Linked DNA regions of Arabidopsis thaliana. The protein of the gene in region 2 purifies or fractionates together with the protein of the main gene of each other region. This does not show direct contact. Each region holds a gene or a part of one and is shown on either strand. Other genes may lie near its edges.

The links.
Region 1: the proteins of RRP41L (region 2) and IMPA-5 fractionate together in Arabidopsis thaliana (co-fractionation; one large-scale study listed by BioGRID). This does not show direct contact.
Region 3: the proteins of RRP41L (region 2) and AT4G32175 fractionate together in Arabidopsis thaliana (co-fractionation; one large-scale study listed by BioGRID). This does not show direct contact.
Region 4: the proteins of RRP41L (region 2) and AT1G60080 fractionate together in Arabidopsis thaliana (co-fractionation; one large-scale study listed by BioGRID). This does not show direct contact.

Annotation. Positions count from the first base shown.
Region 1 is NC_003076.8:19,990,945-19,997,140, forward strand, and holds IMPA-5 (importin alpha), read right to left. Parts: upstream 3,729-6,196; 5' UTR 3,573-3,728; coding exon 3,366-3,572; intron 3,240-3,365; coding exon 3,146-3,239; intron 3,045-3,145; coding exon 2,953-3,044; intron 2,881-2,952; coding exon 2,749-2,880; intron 2,668-2,748; coding exon 2,482-2,667; intron 2,413-2,481; coding exon 2,249-2,412; intron 2,163-2,248; coding exon 2,084-2,162; intron 1,864-2,083; coding exon 1,735-1,863; intron 1,631-1,734; coding exon 1,503-1,630; intron 1,421-1,502; coding exon 1,072-1,420; 3' UTR 1,002-1,071; downstream 1-1,001. Other genes in the region: AT5G49320 (transmembrane protein, putative (DUF1218)), read right to left, coding at 4,139-4,520, 4,694-4,920, 5,106-5,270. UniProt on the Arabidopsis thaliana protein: Binds to conventional NLS motifs and mediates nuclear protein import across the nuclear envelope.
Region 2 is NC_003075.7:13,737,481-13,743,071, reverse strand, and holds RRP41L (3'-5'-exoribonuclease family protein), read right to left. Parts: upstream 3,325-5,591; 5' UTR 3,237-3,324; exon of another isoform or gene 3,127-3,236; 5' UTR 3,112-3,126; coding exon 2,973-3,111; intron 2,901-2,972; exon of another isoform or gene 2,842-2,900; coding exon of another isoform or gene 2,829-2,841; coding exon 2,750-2,828; intron 2,657-2,749; coding exon 2,554-2,656; intron 2,481-2,553; coding exon 2,360-2,480; intron 2,203-2,359; coding exon 2,114-2,202; coding exon of another isoform or gene 2,045-2,113; exon of another isoform or gene 1,923-2,044; coding exon 1,773-1,922; intron 1,515-1,772; coding exon 1,425-1,514; 3' UTR 1,174-1,424; downstream 1-1,173. Other genes in the region: AT4G27480 (Core-2/I-branching beta-1,6-N-acetylglucosaminyltransferase family protein), read left to right, coding at 4,755-5,328, 5,409-5,484, 5,561-5,591. UniProt on the Arabidopsis thaliana protein: Non-catalytic component of the RNA exosome complex which has 3'->5' exoribonuclease activity and participates in a multitude of cellular RNA processing, maturation and degradation events.
Region 3 is NC_003075.7:15,533,014-15,538,426, reverse strand, and holds AT4G32175 (PNAS-3-like protein), read right to left. Parts: upstream 2,994-5,413; 5' UTR 2,873-2,993; coding exon 2,822-2,872; intron 2,739-2,821; coding exon 2,664-2,738; intron 2,528-2,663; coding exon 2,441-2,527; intron 2,066-2,440; coding exon 2,009-2,065; intron 1,628-2,008; coding exon 1,535-1,627; intron 1,425-1,534; coding exon 1,352-1,424; intron 1,268-1,351; coding exon 1,192-1,267; intron 1,104-1,191; coding exon 890-1,103; 3' UTR 825-889; downstream 1-824. Other genes in the region: PANK2 (pantothenate kinase 2), read left to right, coding at 1-81, 161-355, 455-526, 611-703; CYP96A2 (cytochrome P450, family 96, subfamily A, polypeptide 2), read right to left, coding at 3,135-4,655.
Region 4 is NC_003070.9:22,151,122-22,156,994, forward strand, and holds AT1G60080 (3'-5'-exoribonuclease family protein), read right to left. Parts: upstream 3,523-5,873; 5' UTR 3,325-3,522; intron 3,232-3,324; 5' UTR 3,219-3,231; coding exon 3,059-3,218; intron 2,975-3,058; coding exon 2,925-2,974; intron 2,845-2,924; coding exon 2,775-2,844; intron 2,696-2,774; coding exon 2,590-2,695; intron 2,495-2,589; coding exon 2,428-2,494; intron 2,289-2,427; coding exon 2,213-2,288; intron 1,946-2,212; coding exon 1,638-1,945; intron 1,556-1,637; coding exon 1,484-1,555; 3' UTR 1,109-1,483; downstream 1-1,108. Other genes in the region: BGLU4 (beta glucosidase 4), read left to right, coding at 4,461-4,589, 4,665-4,728, 4,813-4,862, 4,943-5,018, 5,096-5,167, 5,252-5,339, 5,419-5,671, 5,741-5,856.

The DNA.
Region 1 (6,196 bases), on a different chromosome or scaffold from region 2:
GAACCGGCTTGTTTGGTTTGATTTAATTTCGACTGAAACCGGTTCAGTTCAACCAAATTGATTCAGTTTGGTTTTGGGTTTAAATCCGGTTTAATAAAACCCAAATTTCAACATGTTAGGCGTGTTGGTTAGGATCATCGGATCATTGCCAATCTCGAATTACCCCCCAAATCGGAGTGAAATTAGGGTTTATATGTCTAATCACCTTAGCACCACCATGACGAAGACCACGATCAGCACAATTCTTCTTGTGGTTTCTCTGTTCGATCATAACTTGAGCTCTTGCTTTCATGGTTTCTGAATTGACCAAGAAGATCTGAAACAAACACAGAAGCAGATCATCATCATTTCCAACAGTTCATCTTCGATCACCCGAATCAGAATCAGATCATTTTATCTTCTCACTGTGGTCTAGCATTCTCTATTTTCAATCCAGATGAATTGTTTAGGGTTTTTGATCGAAGCTTAAGAAAAAATAGCAGAGACGAGAATGAAGAAGAGTTAACAACGAGCGAAGAAATAATAAAGCATCTCTGCACCTTCTTACTTGAGCTTGTTATCGAATTCATCTAAATTCTCAAAGTGGCGACCAAATTCGATGATTCAATTTCTCCATGGAAACGAAACACAAAGTGGTTTCGGAATATATGGGCCTTTTACGTTATACCAAAGCCCATAGCATAAGAGCCCATCCATTTCGAAAGAAAAAAAAAAAAACAAATCCGTCCCGCGTCAAAAAAACTGAATCCATCTTTAAAGTTTGACCGTTAGTTCGGTAAACAAATAATTTAACCCTTTCTTAATTTTGACCGTTAGTTCGGTAAATTTGAGTAAAATTTTTTCCTAAAAGACAAAACAATGTGGATTCCAACAGGAAGTGGAACTTGGTTCTCTAACAGGAAGTGGAACTTGATTCCAATATGATGAGTAGCTGTTAGAGAACCAAGTTCCACTTCCTGTTGGAATCCACATTGTTTTGTCTTTTAGGACCATCATATTATGTGCATGCTTTTGGTTCAATATGACAGCTATTTCTTTACATCAAAATCTAATATCAGATTATGTGGGATCTTAACGAGAAAAATCAAACTGGAATTCCGGATGAGAACAACCATCACCACCTTCATCTTCCTCTTCAACTAACCTTCCATCTTCCTCTACAAGCCCGTATGTTTGCAGAATCTTCACAGCCTTCTCGTAGATCTCATTGTTGCCATGGTGCTGCAAGTTCTCAATCTTTTCTAGCCCTTCTGCATCTTCAATCATTTGAGAGTAACAGTTCACGTCTCTTAGGTTCTTGTCCACCTCTCCAGCAATCAAAATCATTTCCAGTCCACCTAGAGACACTAAGATGATTCTTAGATCTGGACAAACCAGGATGTCACATAAAGCTTTTATGCAATTCTGCTCCACCAAGTATCTGATACACACCAATGGATATTGTGAATATAGATGATCAATAAGCATGAAAAAAGTGATAAAGAAAGAAGACAGGGATGTACTTGATTTGATTAGGAGAACCACCCACGGAAGCATTTGAAATTGCCCATATAGCTTCTTTCTTTATGTCAAATTCAGCATGTTGTGCCAGATTGACCAACGATGGAATCAAATTTGCATCAATAACCGACTGTTATCATCATCAATGCAAGAAAGACAAATAGAAAATATTTAGTGATAGCAACGTAAATTGTTCAAGTTCTGCAACAGTAACAATCACAAACTCATGCTCACCTGAATTTGTTCTTCTAAACCGGCAGTGATGTTTGAAATCGTCCAGCAAGCTTCCCTCCTTATGCCTCTCATATGGTTTTGAGTAAGCAGGTCAGCAAGAACGGGTAAAACACCACAATTGATCACACACTGAAAAATAAGTTCAAAGAGTTATTTGGTTACAAAATCTAATCTCAACACAGTACTCAAGCAACATATAAATGAAGTGTTCTCCAGGATATAATCATCCAAGATACAGGATTACAAATTAAGCTTTTGATAGTGCTATTGCTTTGAAAAACAATAAATTCACACGGTGTACAAGAGACGTGTTCTTGAAGGCTCCATCAAAGGAATATGAATTACATACGTGAGTCTGCTGACTATTTCCAGAAACTATATTCCCAATGCAACGAAGTGCAGGAACAAGTACAACTGGAGAAGCGTGTCTGCAAAAGAAAAAAATGGCGAGCCTTCATTATCCAAACATGTATCAAACGGTTAAATTTTTTAATATTTGGAGAGAAGTACTAACTGGAGAAGTTCAACTAGTCTTGGGACAACACCCGCCTCGATCACACTTTGGATATTTTCATTTGAAGCATCAGACAGATTCGAAAGCGCCCAGCAAGCATCTATCAAGACTTGTTCATCATCCGAATAAACAAGTCTTTTAAGTACAGGGAGAACATGTTTCACCTATAAATCATGTTTCATAAGTTTAAGTATTGCACCTATAAAACTGAGGAAATAGAGAAGTAAGAATACCAGGTCAAAGGGTGGTGAAGGCTTGCCACGGAAGAAGTTTGATAAAGTCCAAGTCGCATTTCTAAGTATCGACAATGTAGCATGGTTATTCAGCTGATGCAACAGTGGAATAAATGCCCCAGAGTTAAGAACAAAGTCACGGCACTGTATTGAATCACCAGCAACATTACCCAGTCCCCATATAGCCTGCAAATTAAGTGTAACATCAAACTCTTCAAAATTTGAACTCACATATTTAACCATTCATACTCAGAAGAAGCACTATACCTGCTCACGGACATCATCATCAGGGGAAGCAAGAAGCTGAACAAAGAGTGGCACAACACCGTGATCAATCACTACCTTGGTATGCTCAGATGCGCCAGAAGCAATGTTTGTTAAAGCCCAAGCAGCCTCAAACTATAAAAAAGATCAAAGAATTCAGAACCAAAGATTACACTAATCATCAAAGATGGGAACTTTAAGTCTAACCTGAAGCTTAGGGTTATCATCCTTCTTAAGAAACTCTACAAAACGTGGCACAACTCCAGATTTTATCACATTATCAGTAGGTGGACTTCTATCTGAACAATATATAAAACCACAAGACTTTAAGAAACCATTCAAGTAAATATAAGTTCGTATCTTTTTCAACTCAAGATCAAAGAAAAGTAAAGAGTTTTACCGAATGATAGAACCACCCTGAACCGAGTTGTGTACTCAAGCTGCAATGAAGGATCATCCGAGAAAACCCCAGTGATCATATTCGCTATCTCCAACTACAACCATCACCAGAGAGGATCTAATTTAATTACCCAATTCGAAAGCATTCGAGTATAATGATAAAGGTCGTATCTTTCAAAACCTAGGTTTCACTAATCCAAAACCAAAGATCAAACTTTTACCAAACTCTCAAAGGGGTCGTTGGAAATCAACTTGTAATCAGGAGGCAAAACTTTTACACGACGTTTCTTCATCAAATTTTCGTTGCGTTTACTCTTGCGAATCTCGACTAAAAAGTCTTCTCTTCTTCTGCGTCCTTCTTCCGCATCTACAGAGACTTTGTAACGGATTCGACGGATCTCTGTCTTCGTGCTCGGTCGCAAGGACATAGCTTTCTCGATTCTTCGACCTCTCTAAATCAATTCACAAAATCGAAGCGAAACCCTAGAAATTTGAACTGAATGGGATTTGCAAAGTGAAGAAGAGAATGCAAGAGTGGTGAAGATGAAGAAGAAGCGACAACAGTTTCAATTTGAAGAAGCGGGAGGGTTTTCTAATTATCGTTTTTAATTGTTAACCGTATTTATACAGTAGATTGAATCATAAATCATTGATAATCTAAATTTAAGATAAAGTTTACAATCATATTATTAAGAGCTCCAAATTGAAATAATTAGTCAATAATTATTATAAGCTAAAATACTTGAATCTAAACCGAACTAAACCGTGAAGTTGGTTTAGTTACTCGTTACCGACGATAAAAAGAACCATATTTGCAGAGTTTACTCGTTAGATGTGTAGTGTTTTCTCCGGCGAAGGAAAACCTACTTTTCCGGTAAAGTTCATGTATTGATTGGAAAAAGTAGGTTTTGGTTTGTGATTTTGAATTGCTTATGTAAGAAGTAAAAACATTGTTTTTTCTCATATGATTATGTTAACTACTATACATTGTACACTATACTATATGTGCAAGTTGCTTTAAAGAAACAAGATATTCCAAAGACGTCGATTCATCTCTAACAGTAGCAAGACCTTCTCGAGCAACCGTAGCCATCCGATTTGTAGGCGATCTTGGAGGAGATGCATAAAGAACTGATGCCTCGATGATCTCTCTATGTGTGTTTTCAAGATCCTTAGAGATTCGATGTGCTTGAAGAGCGGTTAGGTAAAGTCCCGTGGCTAGAAAGACGGTTATAAGTGAGAACACTCCGGCCGCTGAAAACAAGCCTTGCCGGATTACTAGACAACTAGGTTTTGGTTTAGACCAGTTCTTTAGATGTCCTGATTCCACACTAAGTGCAACCAACAGTAGAACCTCTCCAACACCAAAGCAAACCCTTATAGGAACAAAAAAGAATAATATAATCACAAAATTATCATTAACTTAAGCTATGGTCAGTAACATAAATATGTCATTTCACGATTGCTTATAGTTAGGATTTTTTTATTTTTATTTTATTTTTTATAACTACATGACATTAATTCGTTGCGTTAGAATAAGTCTACGTACCATGTTGAGACGAAGAAGAAGGCAGCTTGAAAAGTGAGCCTCTTCGCAGGAACAGAGTCAGGATCCCACTCAACCAGAACCAGAGACGGCGATGTGGTGACTGCGATAAGTAAGTACATGTGGAAGCCCACCATCGCCACCGCTAGTCCCACAAACGCAATCGCACCACACAACAACGGCGTTTTCCCGCTACCATTATACACGCATGTTTTGCTTCCCCATGTCGCCTATTGCAAATGATTGACAACATATTAATGGCAATGATATAACTTATACTAAATACTATTATAATCGAACGATATGGTAATTAATATAAAACATGAATCAATATAGATTTCTGATTTATTTTGAAAATATAAATGATGAAAACATATGAGAGAAAGTTTATATACATCCCTGTATAGTAATGTACCTGAGATCTTGTGGCTTCGGCATAGAGGCAGAGAACAAAGCAGGAGAGGCCAAAGATTATTGTCAAAACAGCGATGAAAATACCGGTTTTGCTGCTGAGATCTGTGGTTTTAGGGTTTGGAACAAGATCTTGATGGGTCACAGCTCGCACTCTTGTTCTCGACATGTCTCTCGTCAATTTCTAATAGATAGGAATCGAAGTTACATGTTTTGAGAGTTATTATACTTTGATTTGTTTTACATATATGAGAGGCATTGAAAGTGGGAAGAAAAGAATAAACTGGAGTATATTTGATAAATAAATGAAAAAGGAGAGGAGGATAGAAGAATTGCTTCAGCCAAAGGTTGCTTAAAGGCCAAGATTCGCAGGTTCTCTTTCGGATGTCTTTTTAGAAATACTATACTGTTTTCGTATAGTGTCTATTAAACGATGATGTGTAAAATATATAATGTGACGAGAGTTCGTTAATGGAGTTAGTTGGATGATTCTTTTCATATATTACACGTGTATAAGAACATTCTTTTCTTCTTTTTATTTTGTGTTCATACAAAGAACATCGTACCTTTTATTATCTTGAAAGTAAATAAAGATAAAGATAAAAAGATAAGGTGATGAACTTTGTTCGTGAGTCGTGAGTGACTGAGTGTTGTCTTATTTCTATATACTATTTATTAGCATAATCATGTGAGGGCGTGTAATTTTTAATAGGAAGCCAAAAGCCTTCCACACCCCACCATAAATAACCAATAGAGAAGCGGTTTCTGATACTCCATTTCAAAAGCAAAGACATATAGTGACAGAAAAAACGAGCTCGTGTCACTGATATCTTTAGCTTCGAATTGGATCAACACTACTTGTCAAGTTGTCATCACCTTAATGTTAGTGTCTCGCCGATGTTGTGTTTGCCGTTGTGATAGTATATATTTTTATTGTTGCCGACACTGGTCGCATCGGTTTTGAAAAGAACATGGTTGTGTATTAAGTACTCATCACTCATGTGGTATTTTCATGACAAAGTTTGTGATGTCGTCACTCGTCGTAAGAATTTTGAATTTAATGTACCTAAATTGTGCTATATGAGTTATGAAAGT
Region 2 (5,591 bases):
AATGATCTATTGTGATTTTTACCAAACCCGGTAAAATTGTATTTACAGATTTGTATGAATCTACTGCAATCTCCCCGATTGGGCCATTCATACTTTCTCCTACCTTTGTTTTGTTCGTTCATTTTTGACTAATTAAGGGCTTTATTCGTAAATTTTTTTTTTTTTATTGACTTGTTTTTGAATGTTATTAAATGTTTTAGGAGGAGCAGATATTATTTTAGGTTTCTAAATGTTTTTTTCTATTTGAGTAACGCATAACTTTGACTCAAAAACTTTAGATATCTTTGATTAGTTATATAAAAAAAAAACATTTAATTTTTAGTAGAATTTTGAAAGTACGTGTGATTGAATGTGAAGAAGACATACACTTTTATATGCAGAGTGGTCACGGGCATTGCGGTTACTGAAATGATAAAGTTCATAAAATGTTAGATAGAAATTAATCAGTAGAACAATCTAGCTGAAATGTTAGATACAAGCATTTACGAAATAAATAAAAATTTACAGAAAACTGAATAATTCGTAAAAAATGTTATTATATTTTTCATAAACTTTTTATACATTGGAGTTTTTTTTTTCTAATGTCTTCTATCATTCATGTTCCCGCAAATTATCGTGTGTTTGTAATTGTCATTTCAAGAATGCTGAAAGGTCTTAGAATTTACTAGTTACTCTATTAGTTCATGTATCAATCTTAACAAGAAGACAAGAAAAAACAAAAAAAAATCAAAGAGAAAATTGGGAGAAACTAGAAGAAGAAATAAAAAGACAAAAATGGGGAAGAGGTGGGAGATAGAAAGAAACAGTTGTTAGGTGGTGTTGAAAACGTGTGAAGTCTTCTTTGGCTATAAGGGCACAACTGTCCACTTTGCTGCGACACACGTCTTCTCTTCTCTCTCTGACCAAAATAATCACATGTCATGCGGATTAGATTCTTCTTCTTCGTATCGTACGTACTACATGATCAGTTGAAGTTCCGACGTTAGCTGATATTACCTAAACACCCTCCTTCATCACCGCCCCCAACTTGTGTGATGTGTGAACCAGAGAAGACTTTTTCTTTTTTAAGATGCAAAAATCAGTTACTCTTTTCTTCATTTTTCTGTATACTATTCTTAATATCATTCCATTTTCGTATAAATTTAGAAAATCTGATATTAATATCATCCACAAGTTTTTTGAAATTGTAAAGAACAATGTGATTGATTTGTTGAAATTCCCTACTTTAAATTCTGTATGTCTTTGATACCACTCGCAATTGGGATCCATTTCATAGCTAAAGATCTAGTTCCATCAAATCTTATGTGAAAACATACATCGGTTTAAACTACACACAGGTTTAGACTAAATCCGTTTACCTATAACAGCTAAAACCGGTTTCATACCAAGTCTGAGCTACAATCCAAAATCATAGTTATTTATGCTCATTCATCGGAAGCTGAGGCAGACTGTTTCAGACAATCACGCATGATCTCTCCAAGTTTTGAACTAGCATCCAAGCAAAGCTGCATTGCCTGCAATATTTGAAATACAAATGTTTGGTAACATGTCTGCACAGCTCCTATGTCACAATTATATGTTAACAACATAGACCCTATGGTATGAACAGCTTAAAAAGAAAATGAAGAACAGTCTAATTAACCAATATCCATGTGATTTAGACAAACAAAGCAGTTGAATAACATCAATATTCAACACTAAGAAAAGAAAGACCTTTTGTCTCTAACCGTCATCGGCAAATTAAGGACAAGAGATATTATTGAAAGGCATACCTCGTTGATATTAGGTGTTGTCCATTCACCAGTGATGGTTAGCTGAGTGATTTCATAACGAGATGGCATGCACGTCATCATAAAGCTGCCATCTTCACATCCTTCCTCCTCTGTAACCGGGTCTATCATAAGGCTTTTGCCTATGCAAGACTTCGAAAATTGCAGGCATAATTTCAGTGTATCAAAATAAAGAATTAACAGATATCTATACGTTTTACATGTCTCAGACTATGGTGCACTTGTATATGTCAATGTATGTGTTACTTTCTTCTTCACTTAATGCTAATAAACATAAGAGATAACGCAGAGGAATCAATGCAACTATTGTAACATACACATACCACTGAAACAGCTGTGATAAGGTCATACATCATAATTCCGGCATCAGCTAAAGCAAGACTAGCACATGATATCAAAACAGAGAGGTCACCTGCAATACAATACCATTGGAGAAAATCAGAAAATGCCAAACAACAATCCAATAAGTTGCTTCCATAATCAACTCCACGAATGTCCAAGCGAACCAATAAGCAATCACATTCTGGTAAAATAATTTTGATAGCAGTCGAGTTATTGTTAAGACTTACTTCCTCCAGATTCAAGAACCAATGCAAAAACATCAACGGTTGTTTTTGGAAACGTCTCCATCATTATTACACCTTCCAATGCTTTGTGAAGCATTGATGAATATTCTTTGTGATCAGTTCCCTAAAATACCACAATGTATTACTAAATTTGATGAAACAAGTTAACACCAAATGTTGCGAAATTTGGAGATTACCTGGCCAAGAGTAGGGGAAGCAAAATTTGTATAGCTAACATTACAATTCAATCTACCTACATCACTATAAACCATTGCTTTCTTACTCTCCCTTGGCCCAAATCTAAAATTTTTGAACACACAAAAGCGAATTTAGCTGACAGAAAAGTTAATGCAAATCCTGAATATACAAGTTTTCTAATCTAATAATACTCACACTGAAACAATAACTTTAGTGTTCCCAAACTCAGCATAAGCAGAACCAGAAGCAGAACTCACAGCACCAGTTTGAAGTACTGAAAGAAGCATTTTTCACAAAAGAAACAAAATTCAAATCTAGTTTAGTCTCACAAATAACTGGAGTCATATGAATCCAACCGTAATTTCACAATGAAGAACCCTAACGATTAAGAATTTAGAGGAATCAAAGGTGTTTTTACATGCGGGTCGGCATTGGTGGAAGCCACGGCCATCAGGACGAGACCAATCGAGGTCGGAATCTTTGAATATAGGAAGCCGACTTCTTCCGACGATTTTAGGTGAATACGTTGGAGTTGCGGCTCCAGGTTTAGCTGCCATTGTTCTGAGCTGAGACTAAACAAAATCGAATCTGATTACTGAGAAAGAGTTGAGAAATCAATGGGTCAATCTCAGAGCTACGATGCGAAAGAAGCAACAGTTGGTCTAATAAGAAGAATCGTTACCCTGAGGGTTTGAGAGACAGAGAACGCGGCGGAGAGAGTGGAAGAACGATAAACGCCGTTAAAAGATTTTTAGGGTTTAGCAAAAAATAATTAAAAAAAAGGGGGAAATTGTATATTTAAGTAACTAAAGTAATAAACATTTTTATTTACGTAGTTTCAATTTACTAGAAGATTTTACTTTTGTAATCATTTTAAAATATTTGGTATAAATCTTAACATTAAAAAGAAAAGTGTAGTAATCAAATAAAAATAGAGTTGTTGATATCAAATAAAAATACTATAGCTAATAGCTCTAAATGTTTGACAATTAATGGAATTTAGGTGAATGGGATATAGAAAAATATATTTTCCACTAAATACTTCTTTACATATTCATACCATTAATAATAAATCCAATACCATTAAGGAAAACATATTTACATATATTAACTAATAATACAAATTAAGTATAACCCAAAGATTGAAATGAGGACACATAACCATTAAGCTAAATCATCATAATGCCACCTCTTAAAAACATTATTATGGGTTTCATTATGCCTCGATCATACGATGTTTGGCATTTTCCGCATTACTAGGCCACTTTCCTCCATTTTCATTTTATTCGAAATGCAATCATCAACGTCGTCGGTCCATATCACACGTTTTGTCCACACCAGTATACAGTAGTAACATCCTCCAATAATGAATAAGAAGTACTCCTATGTTTTTTTAGCCTGTATATTGAAATTAATGCAATTTAATACGCCAGTACCTCACAACAAATCAAAAATCAAAGGACTCAGATAAAAAGTCAAAGGAGAAGGCACCGTTTCTTTCTGGGAAGTGAGTTAAAACGAAAACATCTCTGTGGAAAAACCGAAGCCCAGTGGCTAGTACCATAACTCTCAGATTTCTTTCTTTCTTTCATTATCTAGTTTCTATAGAAAAGAAAGAAAAAAAAAAAAAGGTACGTAATCCGACACTTTAATTAAACAAATCTTCGTTTCAGACAAAGACAACCTCGTGGATTGTGTTAAGAACTGCCCGGATCTTTAAACATTCTCACGTCATCTCCATGAAATTTTAAGAACCAGGTATTTTTTTTACGTTATTTGATTTCTTACGAATAGGAACATGTAAAGTAGGTTTCATTATCCTTAGACAGCTCTAGATTTTTCTTTTCGATCTTTTTTATTATTACAAGATCGGCTCATACTCATACTTTGTGATCACGACGATTCATCAAATCCTCTGTTTTTCTTCCTCTTCAATTTTTCGACTTGTATCAATTTTTTATTTTACTCTTTGCATGATCGGAATCAAGGATCAGAAACTGTGTTTGATCGTTGTTTGAATTCAATATTCATCAATACATGTATAGATTTCTGATTGTGTGTCAACTGTGGCGTAGGTTAGGCGCTACCTCGATTTGTGAAGATCTTTCTTCTCTGATGCGTCGACAATATCAAAGTGTTGGCTTCTTTCGTTGACATAACATTGGTTTTTGAGATCGATCACATATGAGAAGGCTCTTTAATGGCGTCCTCAAACTCAGAGAAGAGATGGATATTCCCTCTAGCAATGGCTTCTCTCATGTTCATATTCCTTATAGCTGCATCCTTCAACATGGGTCTCCTCTCTTCTGTCCGTTCTATTAACTCACTCATCTTCTCCTACAATCTATCGACCACCAACGAGACACGAGTCGAATTTGCAGAGTCAAAGATCAATCAGTCCTCGCATCCTCCTCCAGTACAGCCTAGTCTTCCTCGCTTTGGTTATCTAGTTTCAGGGTCAAGAGGTGACTTAGAGAGTCTGTGGAGAGTGTTACGAACATTATACCATCCTAGGAATCAGTACGTTGTTCATCTTGATCTCGAGTCTCCTGCTGAAGAGAGGCTTGAGCTGGCTAAACGTGTGAGCCAAGATCCTGTTTTTAGCGATGTTGGAAATGTTCACATGATCACAAAGGCTAACCTTGTTACGTATCGAGGACCCACAATGGTGGCTAACACGCTCCACGCTTGCGCTATTCTCTTGAAGCAGAGTAAAGAATGGGATTGGTTCATCAATCTCAGTGCCTCGGATTATCCTCTAGTCACTCAAGATGGTAATATAGTTATGTATCTAGTCTCTCTTTCTTCGTTTCAAATAATCTCTGCCCGGATTATCAATGCCCCTTGCTTGCAGATCTGATTGATACATTCTCGGGACTGGACCGGAACCTCAACTTTATCGACCACAGTAGCAAACTAGGCTGGAAAGAGTAATGATTATTTCTCTGTATAGTACATTTGAGACATTTTTAGTTCTGTTTTCATCCAAATGCGGTTTTTTCGCAGAGAAAAACGAGCAAAGCCGCTGATCATAGAC
Region 3 (5,413 bases), 1.8 Mb from region 2:
GTTCTAGTGGCAAACTCTCTTCCTGCTCTTAACGACGTGACCGCTATGGAACTGCCTGATATAGTCGCTGGGGCTGCTAAGGTTTAACTTTCGATTCTGTGCAGTGTTTATGATGTTCTTTCATGTAACTAACTCTTTTGTTCGGTCTTTACTCTTGAAGCACTGTGACATCTTGAGGAGAGCGGCAGAAATGGGAGGCTTACTTGTGGATGCGATGGTAAATCCAGGGGATGGATCAAAGAAGGATTCAACGTCAGCACCATTGATGGTTGTTGAAAATGGATGTGGAAGTCCTTGTATCGACCTCAGACAAGTCAGCTCTGAGCTTGCAGCCGCTGCCAAAGACGCTGATCTTGTATCTACAAAACCTTCTCTGTTTTCTACCTGACATAAACTTCAAACACATCAAAAAAGAGAAGCTTTGTTCTTTATTTGATGTTTAACAATATTGCAGGTTGTCTTGGAAGGTATGGGAAGAGCACTTCACACCAACTTCAACGCTCAATTCCAATGCGAGGCTCTCAAGGTTTAAACCTCACTTGACAGAAAATTTCAGCTCTAGAACTGTTATTGAAACTTTTGGCTGAAACCTTCTCTTCCTTTTTGGCAGCTAGCAATGGTTAAAAATCAGAGATTGGCTGAGAAGTTGATAAAAGGAAACATATATGATTGTGTATGCAGATACGAGCCTCCCTCGCTTTAACAATGTTATGTATCATTTCTTCAACCTTTAGACTACTGTTGTATACAGATTAAGCATTCGTCATGTGGCATATGTATTTTTATTTAGACTACACTTTTACTGTATAAAATTGTATTTGAATGAATCAAAATCACTTGCTATAAAGAGCATCATGAGGGTTCAGTTACATTTCAAGAACAATAACGTTTAGTCTGAAATTATCGCGAGCAATTTCTCAACCATGATTCTCTGCTGAGTCCCACTTAGAGATTCCGAGTTCATTATTGCATTGGCCACGATAATGACTATACGTGGAGCTGTCGCATTTACCCAAACTCTGCCATTTAAGCCCACAGCTATCTCGAACGAGAGTTTCTTTCCAAGAGCCTCAATGACCGGGCGCGTTGGTGAATTCAACAGCCTATAAGAGATGAGAAAGTAAAGTTGTAATGGCGAAAGAAGATAGATAAAGTATAAGGAGACATTTTTTATGAGGAAGTATATCTCACATTCTTGAAAGACCAGTTGAAGTTTCAAACATGAAACCATCTCTCAAGGGTCCAAATAATGCAGCTTTCCCACTAGCTAATACATAGAAACAAGAGACAATTAGTTTAAAAGGGATTAAGAGAAGCAGCACTGTTTTAGCCTCCAAAGCTTTTAACTTACCCTCGGTACAAGACAGCTCCGGATTCATTCCTATGTTTGTCTTGACAACCCGGAGATAAAGCAGAGTGCCTACCTGTTTAGTACACAAAAATTTGAACATTCCAGAAACAATCAATTCATAGAGAATGTCATATCCCAAATGAGAATTCAAGAGAGCTTCCTGAGTCATCAGAATGTACATGCCTCAAACTTGGGAATATTTCTTCGTGTTCCTCCTTCGAATGCAAGAACTGGCAAAAGTGCTAATTGAGGTCCTTTAATGTCCACCCAAAAATTCTGCAATGACATGATGAGTAAAAGAAACAATTCAGTACTTACTAAGGCGATGTTAGTTCATGCAAGAAAGCTTAACTGCAGCTGATAATTTAAAAGTCAATTAACATTTGTTTGTCCAATAATGGTATCAGTTTTCTTCTGATTTTAGACCATAACTTCAATACTCCCACCTATTTATTTACTGATCCAAGACCATCAACAAACAAGTTCACCTTTATTGGCTCAGAGAAATGAGGACTGAAGTCGCGGAAACTGACAAACATATATTTGTATCGTATTTGACAACTAAAGTATAATAAAATGCTTTCAGAGATGACCAGTCTGAGAGGGATCCAAAAACAACACAAGAATCTATACAAGCAATGATTTCAAAGGACTTACATCTGCCCTAGAATCGACCACGATTCCAAGAACATGATCATCAGGGCGAGGTATATACTGCAAAAAAAAAACATAATAACAGAGTCAGCAACAAAGAGAACGAGACTTACATAGATAATTAACAAAACAATATTCTACTAGAGTTTTGAAAACCAAAAATGGTAAATTGTCTTATCAAGCCAGATGTATATGATCAAATAACTAGGGAGAAAACTAGCAAGAATGATCCACAAAAGCATCAAATTGTCAAAATGCTACAAAAGGCAAATCTTCAATTCTTCATGATGCAATTGTGCCAGGTTATTTGTTACTTTTCTACTCATGATTAATCAAGTGGACCTAGTATCCGAGCAGATGACACAGTTATAATCCACAAGAAGCTCAATAGAGAAGCAACCAGAAAGGGAAGATTAGTAAGACCACTGAGCTCACCCGTTTATGAGAACTTTCGAGCCAATACTTATTAGGCTTGGAGTAACTTAATTTGCCAGCTCTCATGGCAGAGATAGCATCATTATCCTAAAATAAGCCAAAAAAACAAACACATGTCAATCTACAATTCCTTTTTAGTTGCAATTGTATATCACAAATCAAGTGCCCACTGGAATAATTGTTAGGATTCAAACAACACATAAGAAAGAGAAGAAGATGAAACCTGAAGAAGGCCACTTCCGAGCTTGATTGTTTGGTTATTCATGTTTGACAAATCAAGAACAACATCACCTGGAACCTAAAAATTGAAAACACCATGCTTCATTGTAACCAAATCGAATCGAAATCATAAAAAAGCCAACTTTTTAGAGATATACGGACCACAATCTGATTTAAGAGGCTTGTGGGAGAGACAGAAACTTTGGCAGCCATGAGTGAGGTGGGTTTTGGAGATAAGAACCCTAATATATGTTAAACTCTGTTAAAGCTTGTTCCTTGACGACGATGAGAACCCAGAAAGGAACAACACTGCACAGTCTCTTCTTTTTTTTGCACGCAAATTTTGAACCAAAACTATACCGAACCAGTCAATATTAGGATTTCGGTTTACTTAAACCGTAAAACTAAAAAAAAAAACTAAGAACCAAATCAAAACCAAACCAAAATGATTTTTTTATTTAATACATGAATAATTTCAAGCAGAACATCTCTTAGTAACAGTGATTTGAAGACCATGTTTCATTGACAATATAAAACCAAGAGCTGGCACAATCTTCTGTCCTTGGAGAACCTTAATGTCGTAGTTTCGTAATATCTCCACTGCCACTATCTTCATTTGAGTCATAGCTAGATGTTTACCTAGACAAGTTCTTGGACCGGCATTAAACGACAAAAACTTGAAGGAAGGCTCATGTTTTATGCCTCCATTCTCCGAAATCCATCTCTCTGGCTTGAACTGCGATGCATCTTCTCCCCAAACCGCTCGCATCCTCCCCAATGCATAAAGACAGATAATAATCTTAGAGTTTGCATCAACTTTATGGCCACTTGGAAGCACATCTGATTTGATTGGAGACTTGCGTCCGAAGGAAACTGGTGGGTAGAGTCTCATTGCTTCACACAACGCACCATGTAAATACACCAACTTGTCTACATTCTCTTGGCTATTTCCTGTTCTTGATAGATCAGTGTTGATGTTGATCTCTTGATGAATCTTGGCTACCACATGTGGATTTTCAGAGAGAAGCCAGAAGAACCAAGAGAGAGCGGTGGCTGTTGTGTCTCTTCCCGCTAGAATGAAAGCTAAGATGTTGTCTCTAAGGAACTTATCGTCACTCGGATTCAAGAGCTTGTACTTGGTCGTGTCTAGCTTTATGAAGGAAGTTAAAAGATCCTGACTTCCTCCATTGGAAGTCCCTTGTGATCTTTTAATCTCTTCTCTCTTGGCTGATATGTATTTGGCACACACGCGGTCAAAAGTTGCATTAGCTTCAGTGAGCTTCTTCTCTTGTCCGAATCCTATCCAGTTTTGCAGCTTCCACAAGAACCTTGGTTTAAAATGCCTATAAAGAATCCCTTCTCCAACATCGTCGAGAGCTTTAGCAAATTCGTCTTCAGGCATTTCAATGGAGAGAGATCTAGGATCAGAACCAGTTACAAGGATGAAAATTGTATCGAAAGTGAACCTCCCGAAGACGCTTTGCAAGTCAAGAGTTGTTCCTTCCTCAGCAAAATGATTAAGAAGGGGAACAAGACCGTACTTGAGTTTACTTGTCATGGTACTCATTGAAAACCTTTGAAACTCTTGACTATGGAGCATGGCTTGATAAGATTTCCTCATATTCTTCCATAGCTCCGAGTCCGTGGTGATGAAACTGTCTCCTAACACATCAAAAACATCTTGGAACTCCGGTCCTTTGATGTAGTTTGAGAAATTTGAGCTCATTATATGATGAATGTTAGCTGGATCAACCGTGAGCAACATATCCATTCCTGTGAACCGCGGTCCTTTGAATGGAAAGGTCAAGTCAGAGGTTTCGAGAATCTTCACGCTGTAGTCGTAGATTCGGTGAAGCGCCTTGAGCATAGCGGGTAGCATCCGGAGAACCGGCCAGTTCCTAGGGTACCGGCCATGAGGTTTCTTGAAGAGAAAGTAATGAAGGATGAGAAAGCAAAGGATAGCTACGGAAACTTGAAGTAAGCTTATTGAAGCCATTGGAGTAAGGCAATTGATAACACACAGTTTGCTGACACAATGAGAACTAAATTTATAAGCATACACTTCAGGGCACAAGTAAGGAGATGCTTTTTAAAATACACACTAAATTTCGTTATATGCACAAACTGCAAAGCACGTTTAATGCATGTATATCATCAAATTAGAAACTTGTATTAAATTGCCAATGACACCTAACTTTTTATTTTTGTGATAATACACCTAAGTGTTTCAATAATTTGAAAACTGTTATAATTGCCCCTTGTAACTTTATCAACTAATCAAAACTTATTGAAACCATTAGAGAATGAGCTGGATTCACGCACATAGACTTTTGAGTGTGCTCTATGAGCGCTAAAGGAAATGTCATTAACTTCTTCATCCTGTCCAAAGATGATGATAAAGGTTTTTAGCATTTAATATTCTCTATCTAGTTTCAGTTTTCTTCCCTCAAAATTGCTTGCTATAAAGAAATGTCTGAAATACCTGGAGAAAGAAGCCACAAATTCTGCTTCAAGAAAGAAACATGCTTTATACTTGAGGACAATGATGATCAATTGACACAATTTGTATAACCTAAATCCTTACAATTCCAACTTTGTTTGCAAGAACTGAGTTCGGATCACAATAAATATATGCAACAGAGTGCAATACAATTATACAACAAACATACTTAATACACATCTTTTTGCCTTATGTACTCTCAAAAGGGTGGTGTCACGTGTGTGTATATATATCGATTACACAACACTCAGCTT
Region 4 (5,873 bases), on a different chromosome or scaffold from region 2:
GTTCGCGAGTCAGTCTTCAACTAGGTTGTGTCTTTTGGTCTGCGTGAAAACAAGTGACAAGCGTATTTTCTGCGCAATGCCCCAACATGAAAATCCGGACAGATCATGTTATCCACATGTGGAGCGTTATCTGAAAGACACTCTCATATTTGATTATCACGAATGGTCCCAGTCGGTCCATGGCTTGATATGTTTGGGAGATTCTTGGGGCATATTGTAGTTTGGAATCCAATCATGAGACAACATGTTACCTTACCAAAAGTCGCATTTGAATGTAGCTCTTTAGGATATGATCCGGTCGAGGGTAAGTATAAAGTCTTGTGCATCTCATGCTCTAGATACCAAGATCCTCTTGTTTTTACTTTGGGACCTCAAGAATCATGGAGAGTGACACAAAATACCCCTAAACATGTCCCTCTATCCGCCGAGGGACTAATACAAAGTATATGTATCAACGGGGAAGTGTATTATGAAGCGAGTATACCTTTTGGAGTCGATGATAGTTCTGAAGTTGAGAAAGTCCTTATGAGCTTCGATGTGAGGTACGAAAAGTTCAACACAATAAGAAAATCAGCGGCTGATAATTTACTTTGCAAATTTTTCCTCAACTACGAAGGAAAATTTGCATGGGTTTGCTCTGACGACGTCTCTGGTAAATGATTTTGGGTTTTGGAGGATGAAGAGAAACAAGAACGGTCACTTAGAAAATTTCCTCAACGTGACCCGATCTGGAAAGTTTCTTGGGGGCTGAGAGGTATTACTCATGATCCACTGGTGAGTTTATTTATACAGCTGCAACAACATCTGAAGCAATTTATGTCTTATATTATGATCCAAAAAGAACCCTAGTAAGGAGGGTCAAATATGATTATATGAAGGAATTGGTGACGAAGAATTCTGGAAGCTTAATCATAAAAATGTAAGAGAGGTCCGCTATTATCATAATCACACTGAGAGTCTCATGTCTTTGGAGGAAGTTCCTCGCTTAGCATATGATTCTTCCACAGATTCAGAATGATTTTATGTTATTTAGTATTTAATTAGTCTCTCGAGGACTTTCCTCGTCTAGTATGGAATATTTCTTTCACAGATTCAGAATGGTTCTTGTTACAATGCCTCTTTTAAATGGAATAATATTTTAACATACCCTTACATTATAACATAAAAAAATTCAGAAAAGCCTAATCAAAAACAAACTTGCGATGGTGGTCAACAAACAAACTTGTTAATTGCTTTTGATTTGAACATTTGTAAAATTAATCAGCTTACGCACATTTCGGTTCGTTTGAAATGGAGATAATATAATCTCACACTTACACTAGCACTAAATTAAAGTCGTTATATGACAAACAAAACCGTAACACAATCGAACAAAAATGGTGAAGAGCTTCTTCCTTTGCCTCTAAATGGGTAACTTGGTGATCTGATTAAAATATGTAACACAAAATTTCAACAATGTTATGGAATCGTTCCATCTGATAAATTAGTCGATATCCATCTCTCCCAATATCTGCTTAAGCTCCTTTGCTCTCTTCCTTGCTAACTCGACACAGCTCTGCGCATAGCAACTTTATAAGAAACAAAAAACGGTGTAAATCAAGTGGTGGATTAACCTAAGAGAAAGCTAAAACTCTCACCTTGATGGCTGATGAATAGGCGAGAGCAGCTCCTCCTGATTTGTAGAAAGAAACCATTTGATCCGAGGAATCCAAAACAACAGTCACAAGAGTGTCCATGATCGATTCTTCTTCGGTTGTTGGATCTGCTAAGATGTAGTTCTTGTGAAGTATGCAAGTTAAAGAGAAAGGAATGTTCTTAAGCGTAAGTTTTCTCTTCTCCTTGTTCACTGCTTCTTTCTCGGTGATCAAAGCATTGTCTTGATCTTTTTCTCCAGTGACGGCAACTATTCTTCCATTGTCATTCAGAGCAACAATTGGAATTTGCACTGCAATATAAAAGATATTTTATGCATCAGAGGAAAAATTCTTCTGTCTCGGAACACCAATCACACAACTTCTGAACAAACCGCTATTGTGCAGGGAAGAATATTACTCAGGTATGACTCACTCAGCAAGATTTAAGTGTTCTCTAAGGCTTGCTCTTTTTACTCATATTCGAAATGGATTTGATAAACTTGAGAATCAGCTTTATTCAAAGGTTCTCTAAAGGAGCTGTGAAACCAACTAAAGGATGAGAACAGAGAAGAACTTACGATTGGAGAAGGCTGCGACAGCAGCAAGCAGAGCAGCATCAAAGAGAGCACCATCAGCATCCAGGCAATATATGTCCTATGAGAAATTTCAGAGAGCAACAATGTTCATATATATGCTAGAGAACTCAGTTAAATATCAAAGAGAAAGATCCCTAGAAGAATAGATGTGAATCAACTGACGGACAAGCACCGATATAAGACCAACGAGTACTCACCAGATAACCCATCCAAGCAGCTTTTCCACTAACTAGACACAGTTCTTTAAGATCAATCATACCAGAACTAGAACAAAAAAGAAACACTTTTAGAAGGAACATTGTATTTGATGCTCAATGAGACAGAGAAAATATAAAGAGAAAGATCAAACCAAAACACACCTTAAAATAGTATCAGACAAACGCTTTGAAATAACGGGAGCAGCTTCGGCTGGTCTTCCAGGACGAACAGTCGGAGAACAAATTGGAGGCATATGGAACTCAATAGCTACCAAAAAGGAATCACAAAATGAATCACCAAAGAAGAACAACAAACCACATAGAGAACAAGACAACGAGATAACAACCTATGCATCCTTCGTCTGGAGAGTCCGTAGAAGGAGTCATAACTTCCATTCTAATAGCAGCAAGCATAGTCTATAAACACGAAACAACTATGTAAGCAAAACATTGCTGATCATGTGAATACTATCGAAACGACTAAGGCGGGTTCTTACAGTGGAACCAATCTTAGCAAGAGCAGACCCATCAGCAGTTGAAACAAGTCCTACAACAAACACAAGAAACCACTATAAAGTTGACATTTTTAATTTGATAAAAACTAAAAAGAATCAATCTTCATTGTTTATACCAAGATTAACAATGGTGTCTCTAGCTTTTCCAAGTTGTCTTCCATCAGGACGAAGAGATTCAGAGAGATGACGCTCAAAGAAACGAAGAGGGAAGATTCTTCTAAAAGCATCAACTTCCATCTCTGTCGACAAGTCTTGAGCTGCATCTGGTATTCCCATGTTTTCTTTAGCTCTGCTTCATGTCACAAAGATAAAGAGAATCATAAACCAAAAGTCTCTGAGTCTGTGCTTCATCAACACAGTCTCAAGGAATCACAAAGCTTACCTTGGGACAAAAGAAAGAACTGCCTTTGGTACACGAAACTGTTGTAGTGAAGAGGAAACACAAGCAATAGAGTGTAAGAAGAAGATTGAGAGCTCGCGGTGTCGTAAGTAATGGGGATTTCGACGGAGACGGTGACGGTGACGACGGCTAGGTTTATCTGAGTTTTTAACTAAAGTACTTCTTCATTCTAAATGGGCCCCAAACAAAGCCCAATAATGTTGCGAAGCCCAAAGAAATGCGAAATAAGAGATTTGTTTGCTTCACAAGACATGAGTATATTGAAATTTGGGTTTTCAATTAGATGAATTTGGCGAAAATATGAGGCGCACTTGATTATGAGCTGAATTTGGGAAAATGTTTAGTGTAAATTGTAAAATATGAAGAAGAAGAAATGGCGTCAAAATGAACATTATACATTCTTGTTTTATATCCAATTTTGTTAATCCTCCATACATTACTTAATGGTGTTTAATTATAAGTTAAGAAATTTCTCTTTTACTATATATATCGTTATAAGTATTCGTAGAAAATTTCAATTCAAAACATCGTTATAAGTATTCGTATATTGAAATTTGCAACAATCAACAGAAAAACTTATCGTTATTCCGTTTTTTTCACATCTATTTTAAAATTTTAAGATAATGTATGTTTAATATTTTATGCTTTGTAATAATTATTAAGTTTTATGAAATAAAATATTTTTTTCTTTATAAGAGGACCAAATATTTTTACTTTAATACCTCAAAAGTTATTATATCATAGTCCATACTATTAACAAAAATTTAGGAATACCCAAAAAAAATTGAAATGTAACAAAAAGTCCAAAAATATTTTTTTGGCCCAAAAGCCCTCATATATGTGGGGCTGGGGCTGCATAGCCGCATGGTTTTCCGGTCCCCTAGTTTCTTTCGTTATTTGGGTTGGTCAGACCTGGGCTCCGATCCAGCGTAATCTGTTTCTTATCATAGTAAATAAAGACCATAATTCATTTCAACACACTTCCCAATATGTTTCTTATCTAAATTGCATCATCATTAATGTCTACGTCACAACTATATCTAGCGGGTACGCAAATGGCTACTGGACTTACTTATTCTAACATGGAACGAAGAAAAGAGTGTGTGTGTGTGTGAGAAATGGAACAGATTTTGGCTCTGTTTGCCATTTTTCTTGCTTTTGCTTTCTCCGGGAAATGCAGCGACGTTTTCAGCAGATCTGACTACCCTGAGGGATTCGTCTTTGGAGCCGGCACTTCTGCTTATCAGGTTTGGAACCAATTTATGAGCTTCTTTTTTCTTAACTTTTGAACAAAACTGAACCAAATGTTTGGTCTCTACTAGTGGGAAGGAGCTGCTGCAGAAGACGGAAGGAAACCTAGCCTGTGGGACACTCTTTGTCACTCTCGTAAGCTTTTCATTTTAACACAAACTATTATTAGTATTAGAGTTTGTCACTCTTGTGCTTTGATTCTTGTTTCTAACATTGCAGGTGACCAAGGTAACGGAGATATAGCATGTGATGGGTATCACAAGTACAAGGTTCTTTAGCTTCTCTGTTTCTCTGACTACATCATGAGGTTTTATTCATCAAGCCTGAGTTTCATTATGAATTTATACAGGATGATGTGAAGTTGATGGTGGACACTAACTTAGATGCTTTCAGATTCTCCATCTCTTGGTCTAGGCTAATACCTAGTAAGTTTTCTTAAACATGTTATAGCTCAGTGAAGGGATCAAATTTATGATCAGTTCGTAATTTATTATCTGATTAGATGGAAGAGGGCCTGTTAACCAAAAGGGTCTACAGTTCTACAAGAACCTCATCCAAGAGTTAGTAAGCCACGGTAAGACCTATCTTCATATCCACGGTAGGACTCAAGAGTTAGGTTTAGTTCGTATTAACTAGAGTTTAAGTAGACTTACTACAGGAATTGAACCACATGTTACACTCTACCACTATGATCATCCTCAGTCTCTGGAGGATGAATATGGAGGATGGCTCAACCACAGAATGATGTAGGCGTTACTTATTTTCTCTTACAGATTTTGTAGTTTAAGATAAAATAACAAAAGTTGATGTTATTTGCCATTGCAGCAAAGACTTTACTACTTATGCAGATGTTTGCTTCAGAGAGTTTGGGAACCATGTCAAACTATGGACCACGATCAACGAGGCTAATATATTCTCTATAGGAGGTTACAACGATGGGGATACACCGCCTGGTCGTTGTTCCAAACCGAGCAAAAACTGTTCTTCAGGGAACTCTTCCATTGAACCATATATTGTAGGCCATAATTTGTTGCTTGCGCACGCCTCTGTTTCAAGACGATACAAACAAAAATACAAGGTATATATTACATAACCCTCTCTTGAATGTGTGAGAAGAAACACACTATAAAGTATATATAATATGCAGGATAAGCAGGGAGGTTCCATAGGATTTAGCTTATTCATATTAGGGCTTATTCCTACTACAAGCTCCAAGGATGATGCCACTGCAACCCAAAGAGCCCAAGATTTCTACGTCGGCTGGTGAGTCAGGCACAAAC